Tribolium castaneum: one gene and its partner. The protein of the gene in region 1 binds, or shares a complex with, the protein of each later gene. Links are inferred from orthologs where the notes say so. Each region holds a gene or a part of one and is shown on either strand. Other genes may lie near its edges.

Region 1 (4,148 bases):
GTGTCTCGTTTCGTCTCCTGATCTATAGTCCTCTATACTCTGACTTAACTTTTGCTTAATAAAAATTATATTTTAGATCAGGAATGTTATCAGAGAGTGAATTTGAGGATGATCCCAGCAATCATGTAACGTTATCTCAGAAACTTATTTCAAGAGGAAATATTGAATCTGGGAAATCCTCTATCAAATTAACAGAACTAGGGCCAAGACTAACTTTACAGTTAATTAAAATTGAGGATGGTCTACTGGATGGCGAGGTTTTGTACCACGATTTAATCGAAAAAACCGACGAAGAGAAACTGGAAATACAAAAGAAACGTGAAGCTAAAAGAAAATTGAAAGAGGCGCGGAAGAAGACACAAGAGAAAAATAAGGAAAAGAAGGAGAACATGAAAAAGGAATTAAAAGAAAAGTCACTTGAAGGAATGAAGAAGAAAGAATCAAATGAGGAGGTTGCTGTTGAAGATGATAATGATGCAGAATACTACAAGGAAGAGGTGGGGGAAGAACCCGATAAAGATTTGTTTACACAATCGCAAAGAAAACCCTCAAGACCTGTTCAGTTCAGGAAGAGGAAATCAAGCGAAAAGCCGCCTAATTCCGCAAAAAAATTCAAACGAAACGACGGAAAAAGCACTAGACATTTACAAAATCGTGACCAGCGACCAATCGGTGGCCAAGCCTTTGGGAAAGGGAAGGTAAAAAACAAACGTAATTTTAAAAAATGATTATAAATTTATTTCAAATTGGATTGTTCTTTTGTGATTGGATCCAGTTCTCTTTCCGGATCCTGGCTTCCCGCATTCGCTTTTCTTTCCTTGTTTCCTCCCGAGCGACATAATATTTTTCTCTAAAGTCCACAATTTTATTCTGATCGGAATCGTCCGTTGGGTTAATATTGCGAACTTTTTCAAACGTTAAAAGTCTTCGTGACGTTATTTTAGTCAAGATTTGTTCACTGTTTGCCACCAGTTTTAAACACGGATGTGAGGGAAGACCCGCTTCCGAATAGTCTTCTCTGGAAAAAAAAGTACTTTGTTTGGATAATCGATTGAGGGGGGTTTACCTAAAGACAGGAAACCAGCAAACAAGCCTCCCACCCAGCCTCAAATGTTTTGCGGCAAATTTCAACAAGTCGTTGTAAATGCTAGAAATTCCATATTCAATTTTAGCTGGAATGTGTGTGGGTAGGTGTTTTTCGCTCACGGTGAAGTTTTCTTTACTTGTGCCCACTCGTTCTGTTGCTTCTCGGATCCCATAGGGGGCTATAAAAGTCGCTAAATTGAAAGATTCATTCATTCATTAAGAGTAACTTACGATCGGTTATTATTGAATCGAACTCAACATCATCTCTCCAAAAAGATGAAGCGAAATCGTTTATGAGCACATCTAAATATTTATGTTGTAAATTATACTGTTCCATATTTGCTTTAATGCTTTCATCAGCTGCCCTCTCCTGAAATAACTTACGTAGTGAAAAAAATATTAGGAGATGATACGGTGCGCAATAAATTGTTCTTGTATGTATTTAAATAACTATGAACGCAAGACAACAAACAAAACATATTAATAAACTGATTGAAAAAAGCTAGATTCATTAATGATTTTTTAACGAAAATCTGCATCCTTTTTTCATAATATCTATAATTATTTTATATGAAAATTACTTAAAATAAAACAGTTTTTAATGATTTTCTGGCATTGACCAATTAAGACATGAATTTTTCCCGAAAAAATTAATTACCTTTTGTTTAATTCGTGATGGCCTAGTTCTTGCGTGCAACATCAAATAATCGATGTCGCCTCCTAAGACAAAACCGCCGAACTCTGCAGCTGCTACCAGAAGAGACCCAGAGCCTACAAAGGGGTCTAAGACAATGTCCCCATCCTTGACTTGGGCTTGATTAGCCATCAATAAAGACAACTGTGGATCCATACTAGTGTTTCCAATAAATTTCCGAGTTTTTAACGACAATTTCCTGATTAATTGTCTCAAACCATTAGCTATCTAAAAATTAAAATGTGAAACTTATTATTACTACTACTTTACGAGTAATGAAAACTGACCCATCTGCCAAAAAACACATCGTAAGGGTTTTCAGGTGGGTCATTAGCCCTTGTTCCGTAATATTCAATGTAATGTAAACAAACATCTGGATCTTTTAATTTAACAGGGCCTTGGACAGGCAGATAACTAAAACTCTGAACAGAAAAATAAATTGGCGATCAATTATTTAACACTACTTCAAGCTTATTAATTTTTTCCTTTTGGCTGAAGTGGCGACAAAAAGTTTCCACTTCAATTTTGAAAGACAAATGGGGTTGAAAGTAAGGCTCCATTAACTGTTTTGGGAAATTCTGTAACTGACAGTGTAAACTCTGGATATCTTTCGCATGTGCCCACAATTCCATACATGATCTAATCGAGACAGATCTGCTAACTAAACGTTTCAAATCACTTTCTGACTCAAATTCAACGATCCAATAAGGCGCCTAAAAATCTAGCTTAACTCTTATTCATTAATAAGTCACGATTATGTTACGGTATTATCTGGTTCTTTGAAGTGTCTCATTTTAATTTGAAACATGGAAAGTAACGAATCAATCTCCTAAAAAATATTTTGAGAAAAAAAAATATTTGAATGGGAATACGAACTTCGAAGCGAAATTCGATATGTTCCTGTGCAAACCACAGGAGGTATTTTTTCCACGGTTTATTCATCTTGAATAACTTAATAGTGTCGTTTCGAGTAAAAAATAAATGCAAAAACACGTTTTTTGGGTTAAGTAGTGAGTGAGAAAAAGTGGGGTTATCTGAGAATTGCTTCAGTTGGTGGTACTGTTTCAGTTTGAAATGTTGGCGGGGTGATGGCTAATTCTTTTTTCTACTTGTATTCTTGAGTCTTCCAACCAATGGAGCATGAAAGGCAAGCACAAAACACATGCATACCTTTGTAAAAGGTTCCCTGAAGCGTATGATTGCAGGGCATCAGGTCACAGCAAATTTTCAGACTACATCATGAATGTCGGGTTATACAAGATTGATTAGAGCAAGGCCTTCAATTCTTAGCCCCCTGGCCCCTAAATCAATAAATGTTACTTAGGGCGGCCCCTGAGAACTGTTAAATGATCAAAAAACAATGTGTTCATACTTTTATACATATCTCAAAAAATAGTTCATGGATCAGTGAGTTAAAGGCAAAATAATTAGAAATGAACTCCGCAGAAAACTACACATTTTTTATTTAGTTTTTAAAGCTTTTTTTTGTATGCTGACCGAATAAAGTTGAGACTTAATTGCCAATTGCAAGATACTTCTCAGATCAGGAGGAAAAAAGACGTGATTTATAAACAAATAAATAACCACGTTTTTCTTACATGCACTAGCCCAATTACAGAAAAAGTAAAGAAAATAAAAAATTAACGTTAAATACCAGACGTGGTAACAACTAAGGACAGTACTAAATTCTTATTAAAATAAAAGCGAAATCTCGTTCAACTGGTAATAAATTAAATAGGTTACACGTTATCGATATTTGGTGCACAATATTAAATTATGACGGGCATTAGATCTGGGTATCAAAAAATTAAGTTTAATTAAGTTTAATTAATTAAGTTAAGTGCAGAAGTACAGGACAGTAATTTTATTATTCATTAAAAAATTATTTACTATTATTTACTAAAAAAATACGGCTCTTGTTTAATGAATTAATTTTCAAACAAATTTATAAAATTGACTGACTTATTATACTTTTTTCTGGATACAGACGGTAAAGACCATAGCAAAGGTAACAGACATACATCAAAAACTTTTTCTGTATGGACTGTATGGATTTATGTACAACCTCATTGTAAATGTGCATGCAAAAATTGAACCCGATACTATCAAGAAAAAATAACCTTTAGAAAAGTTTCTTTGAGAATGACACATTTCAAATTTATTGCTTTCAAAATTTATTTGGAAGGAAATGCCAGTGACAGTTTTGGGGGTTGAAAATTAACGACAATTAAAGTCTAATTTTTTATTAACATACAAAATTATTTTTGTTATGTGTATTAGCGAAGGAAGGAGTTCATCAGTAAAGCGAGGTTCAATTGTGAATCTTTTCCTGAAAGCTGTTTTTCATCATCAAATGTTTGAGCTATGC
Region 2 (2,935 bases), on another chromosome or scaffold:
GTTGCCCAAAAGTTTTTTGGGGATTGGCCGAGAGAAAGCACCCAGAGTTGGCTAGTGTAGCTTTAAAACTTATCAATATACCAGCCAGCTCAGCTTCCTTGGAGCGTGTGTTTAGTAATTGGGCATTTATTCACAATGATTTGAGAAATCGTTTGGATGCTGATCATTCGAGAAAAATAATGCATTGTTATTACTCCCTGAAGATGCGGGAAAGTAACGAAGTCAGTTAAAAAAGAAACATTGGTTGTGTTTTTTTCCTCGAGATTAATTCTTTTATTTTGTTTTTTGAGAATAGACTTTATTTTGTTTTTTTGAGAATAGACTTTATTTATTTTTTTTTTGAGAATAGATTTTATTTTTTGTTTATTACTAATCTGTTTTGCCAAATAAAGAAAATAATAGAAAATTGTCTTGTTTTACTGTTTACTGACTACAATTTCTGATGGTAAAAGAACTTACTTAATTAATAATGATATGTATTTAGTAATAGAACATTTTTGATTCATTTTTCTCTTCTTGAGAACAAATAAATGCTACCAAATTTTGACGTAAAAAATAGTGTAATTTTTCGGTAATTTATTTGGATTGATGACGTAGAAAATGTGCAAAAACTACGCGTCGTTATACTGTAGAACGACGTTTCAATATCTACGTCACAACCCTGACTACAACCTACCAGGGCCTGCTTTTTTGAACAATTTTTTTAAAGTAATGTGAATCAAGTGGTAATAATTGTCAAATAAACAAAGCCAACTGTTTATTGCCAAAACTCAAGACAAGCGACTTGATGATGATGTTGATGACTCACCCTGTGTACGGAACGCTTTCCTACCTTCCTATTATTATGAATTTGTGCCGCTTTTTGGTGTCTGATAGTACACGTGTGTTTGAGGAGACTCAACCGATGGGCATGGAGCGTTTTCTGACAGTAGGTGCAATAGGCCCGCGTGGGTTCCCCAACGACTCCTCTAAGCCAACCTTCGAAAAATTCGTCAAGTCCTCGACAAAAACCCCCAATTCTCACCTTTAAAATCGGGCATTTGCTCCCATGCTGGGCGATACGTCTGTTTGTAATATTTTCCTCTAACGATATTCGAACTGCTGTTTGATAGACTCAATGTGGCGTAAGAAACCGACGAGTCGTCTAAATGCACCGGAATTTCGGCCAATTCTTGCGAATCTTGAGACTCTTCTTCAACTTCTTGAATTTGCTCACTCTCTTCGCTTTCCATTTCACGCGCCAACAGCAAACGGTTATTTTTCTAAGTTACTAAAAAGCCGAAATATAACTAACTGCAATATGGCGACGAGTTGGGGATTTAGCGTTGGGATGCACCGGAAATACCTCAACCAAGTACCACAAAACCACAACTATTTCTCACCCAACTGGGCAAAAAACGGCCCCCATTGATAAAACTTACCAAAAATTAATCACAAATTTCAAAAAAATAACTACGGCGGTTCAAAAATCTTGATTCAATTGTTTGTACGGTTAAATAGTTGTTAAAGAGTCACCAAGTTCCGTTCGAAGCGAGGCGCGAAATTTGAACCAAAAGCTCATTGTAAATCAATCAGTGATGGGGTAAGCATCCAAGAGCGCAAAAAGTGTCTCACGCGAAAAACTGGCCGATTTAAACAATTAATTGTCCACTGGTGTGAAAAATACACGTAAATACACAAAAATCGGAAAATGAAATTGTTAACCCACAACATGCTAACCTCCAAATGCATGAAAGTCGTGACTGTGGGGTACCCGCTTGGTATTAACGTGAGTACTTTACGTTTTTAATACAATTCAGGCGAAAAACGCCCCTAAAATCGGCTAAATCCGACTTGTGTTGTTTGAGGTTATGTCAATTTTTTTCCCAAAATTTCAGGCTTCGGACGTGCGAGTGTCCGAAGTGGACTTCAACCCGGACTTCGTGGCCAAAATCATCCCAAAAGTGGACTGGAACGTGCTCTACAATGCAGCCCAAAGCATAGGCCAACTGGAGGGGCTCCCGAAGGACGTGGTCGAAAATTACGAAAACGACCACGAGTTCCTGAAAAAAGCCCATCACGCCTTGCTGGAGATCGATATAATCAACGGCGAGCTGATCTGTCCCGAAACCGGACGGAAGTTTCCCATAAATAACGGGATCCCGAATTTGTTGCTGAATGAGGACGAGGTGTAAATAAAACAGTGATAGTAACCATGAAGGCATTTTATTTTGAGACACAGTACAATTGAAAGCGTTTGACATTGTACAGCTACCAAGAAAATACGAAAATTGCACACTTTATCTAACAGCGTGTAAATATGTCTTGTCAATTTTTACAGTACAAAAATATTTGGGGTACATTAGGGGACTTGAAATCGTGATATAGCTGGATATGTGGGGGCACAGGTATTTCAAGTGGGCGGCATAAGTTACAAGCCACAGCCTTCCAAAAAATAGGATGCGTTTCTGGATCACTACATTGCTCCGAGTGTTTATTAAAAAAAACGTGCAAGAGTGCTGTGATTTCGGGAAACTATGGATATCTAGAAATGACGTACAAATAAAACGTTCCCGTCCTCGATAGTTCCGTTAACGTCGCCAGAGAGCGTAGTTAAAATGGTTGTCTGTCCCATATTTTTTTGGGTTAAAAAAATCGTCTCCTAACTTATAGTCCTCCGTATTCATACAACACTCTTGATGCACGTTCTTTTGTGAACACTGTACAAGTAACAAAATCTTTGGTTGTGAAATTGCAGATCAATCTGAATAATTCGATGCCAATATCCTCAAGCTTTGCCGTTTTTTTTTAAACACTGCATGCACACTTATTTACAACGACTTAAATAATAGTACACATGAACTGCTACTTTCCCCGAGACTCGCCCCCAACTGCGACATTTTTCAATTGGGAGAAAATGCTGCCTTTGGCAAGGCCTTGTTTGGGGCCTTTGCGC

The links.
Region 2: tRNA (guanine(10)-N2)-methyltransferase homolog (region 1) and Trmt112 share a complex: the UniProt entries of both Homo sapiens proteins name them as parts of the heterodimeric TRMT11-TRM112 methyltransferase complex. The link is inferred for Tribolium castaneum from reciprocal best matches to the Homo sapiens genes TRMT11 and TRMT112.

Annotation. Positions count from the first base shown.
Region 1 is NC_087397.1:8,654,695-8,658,842, forward strand, and holds tRNA (guanine(10)-N2)-methyltransferase homolog, read right to left. Parts: upstream 2,839-4,148; 5' UTR 2,723-2,838; coding exon 2,657-2,722; intron 2,610-2,656; coding exon 2,544-2,609; intron 2,494-2,543; coding exon 2,245-2,493; intron 2,203-2,244; coding exon 2,068-2,202; intron 2,009-2,067; coding exon 1,745-2,008; intron 1,457-1,744; coding exon 1,318-1,456; intron 1,266-1,317; coding exon 1,067-1,265; intron 1,019-1,066; coding exon 742-1,018; 3' UTR 729-741; downstream 1-728. Other genes in the region: ppan (protein Peter pan), read left to right, coding at 77-728. UniProt on the Homo sapiens protein: Catalytic subunit of the TRMT11-TRM112 methyltransferase complex, that specifically mediates the S-adenosyl-L-methionine-dependent N(2)-methylation of guanosine nucleotide at position 10 (m2G10) in tRNAs.
Region 2 is NC_087394.1:6,130,832-6,133,766, reverse strand, and holds Trmt112 (multifunctional methyltransferase subunit TRM112-like protein), read left to right. Parts: upstream 1-1,521; 5' UTR 1,522-1,690; coding exon 1,691-1,768; intron 1,769-1,877; coding exon 1,878-2,174; 3' UTR 2,175-2,195; downstream 2,196-2,935. Other genes in the region: uncharacterized protein LOC655985, read right to left, coding at 809-978, 1,025-1,232; uncharacterized protein LOC656340, read right to left, coding at 2,845-2,935. UniProt on the Homo sapiens protein: Acts as an activator of both rRNA/tRNA and protein methyltransferases. Together with methyltransferase BUD23, methylates the N(7) position of a guanine in 18S rRNA.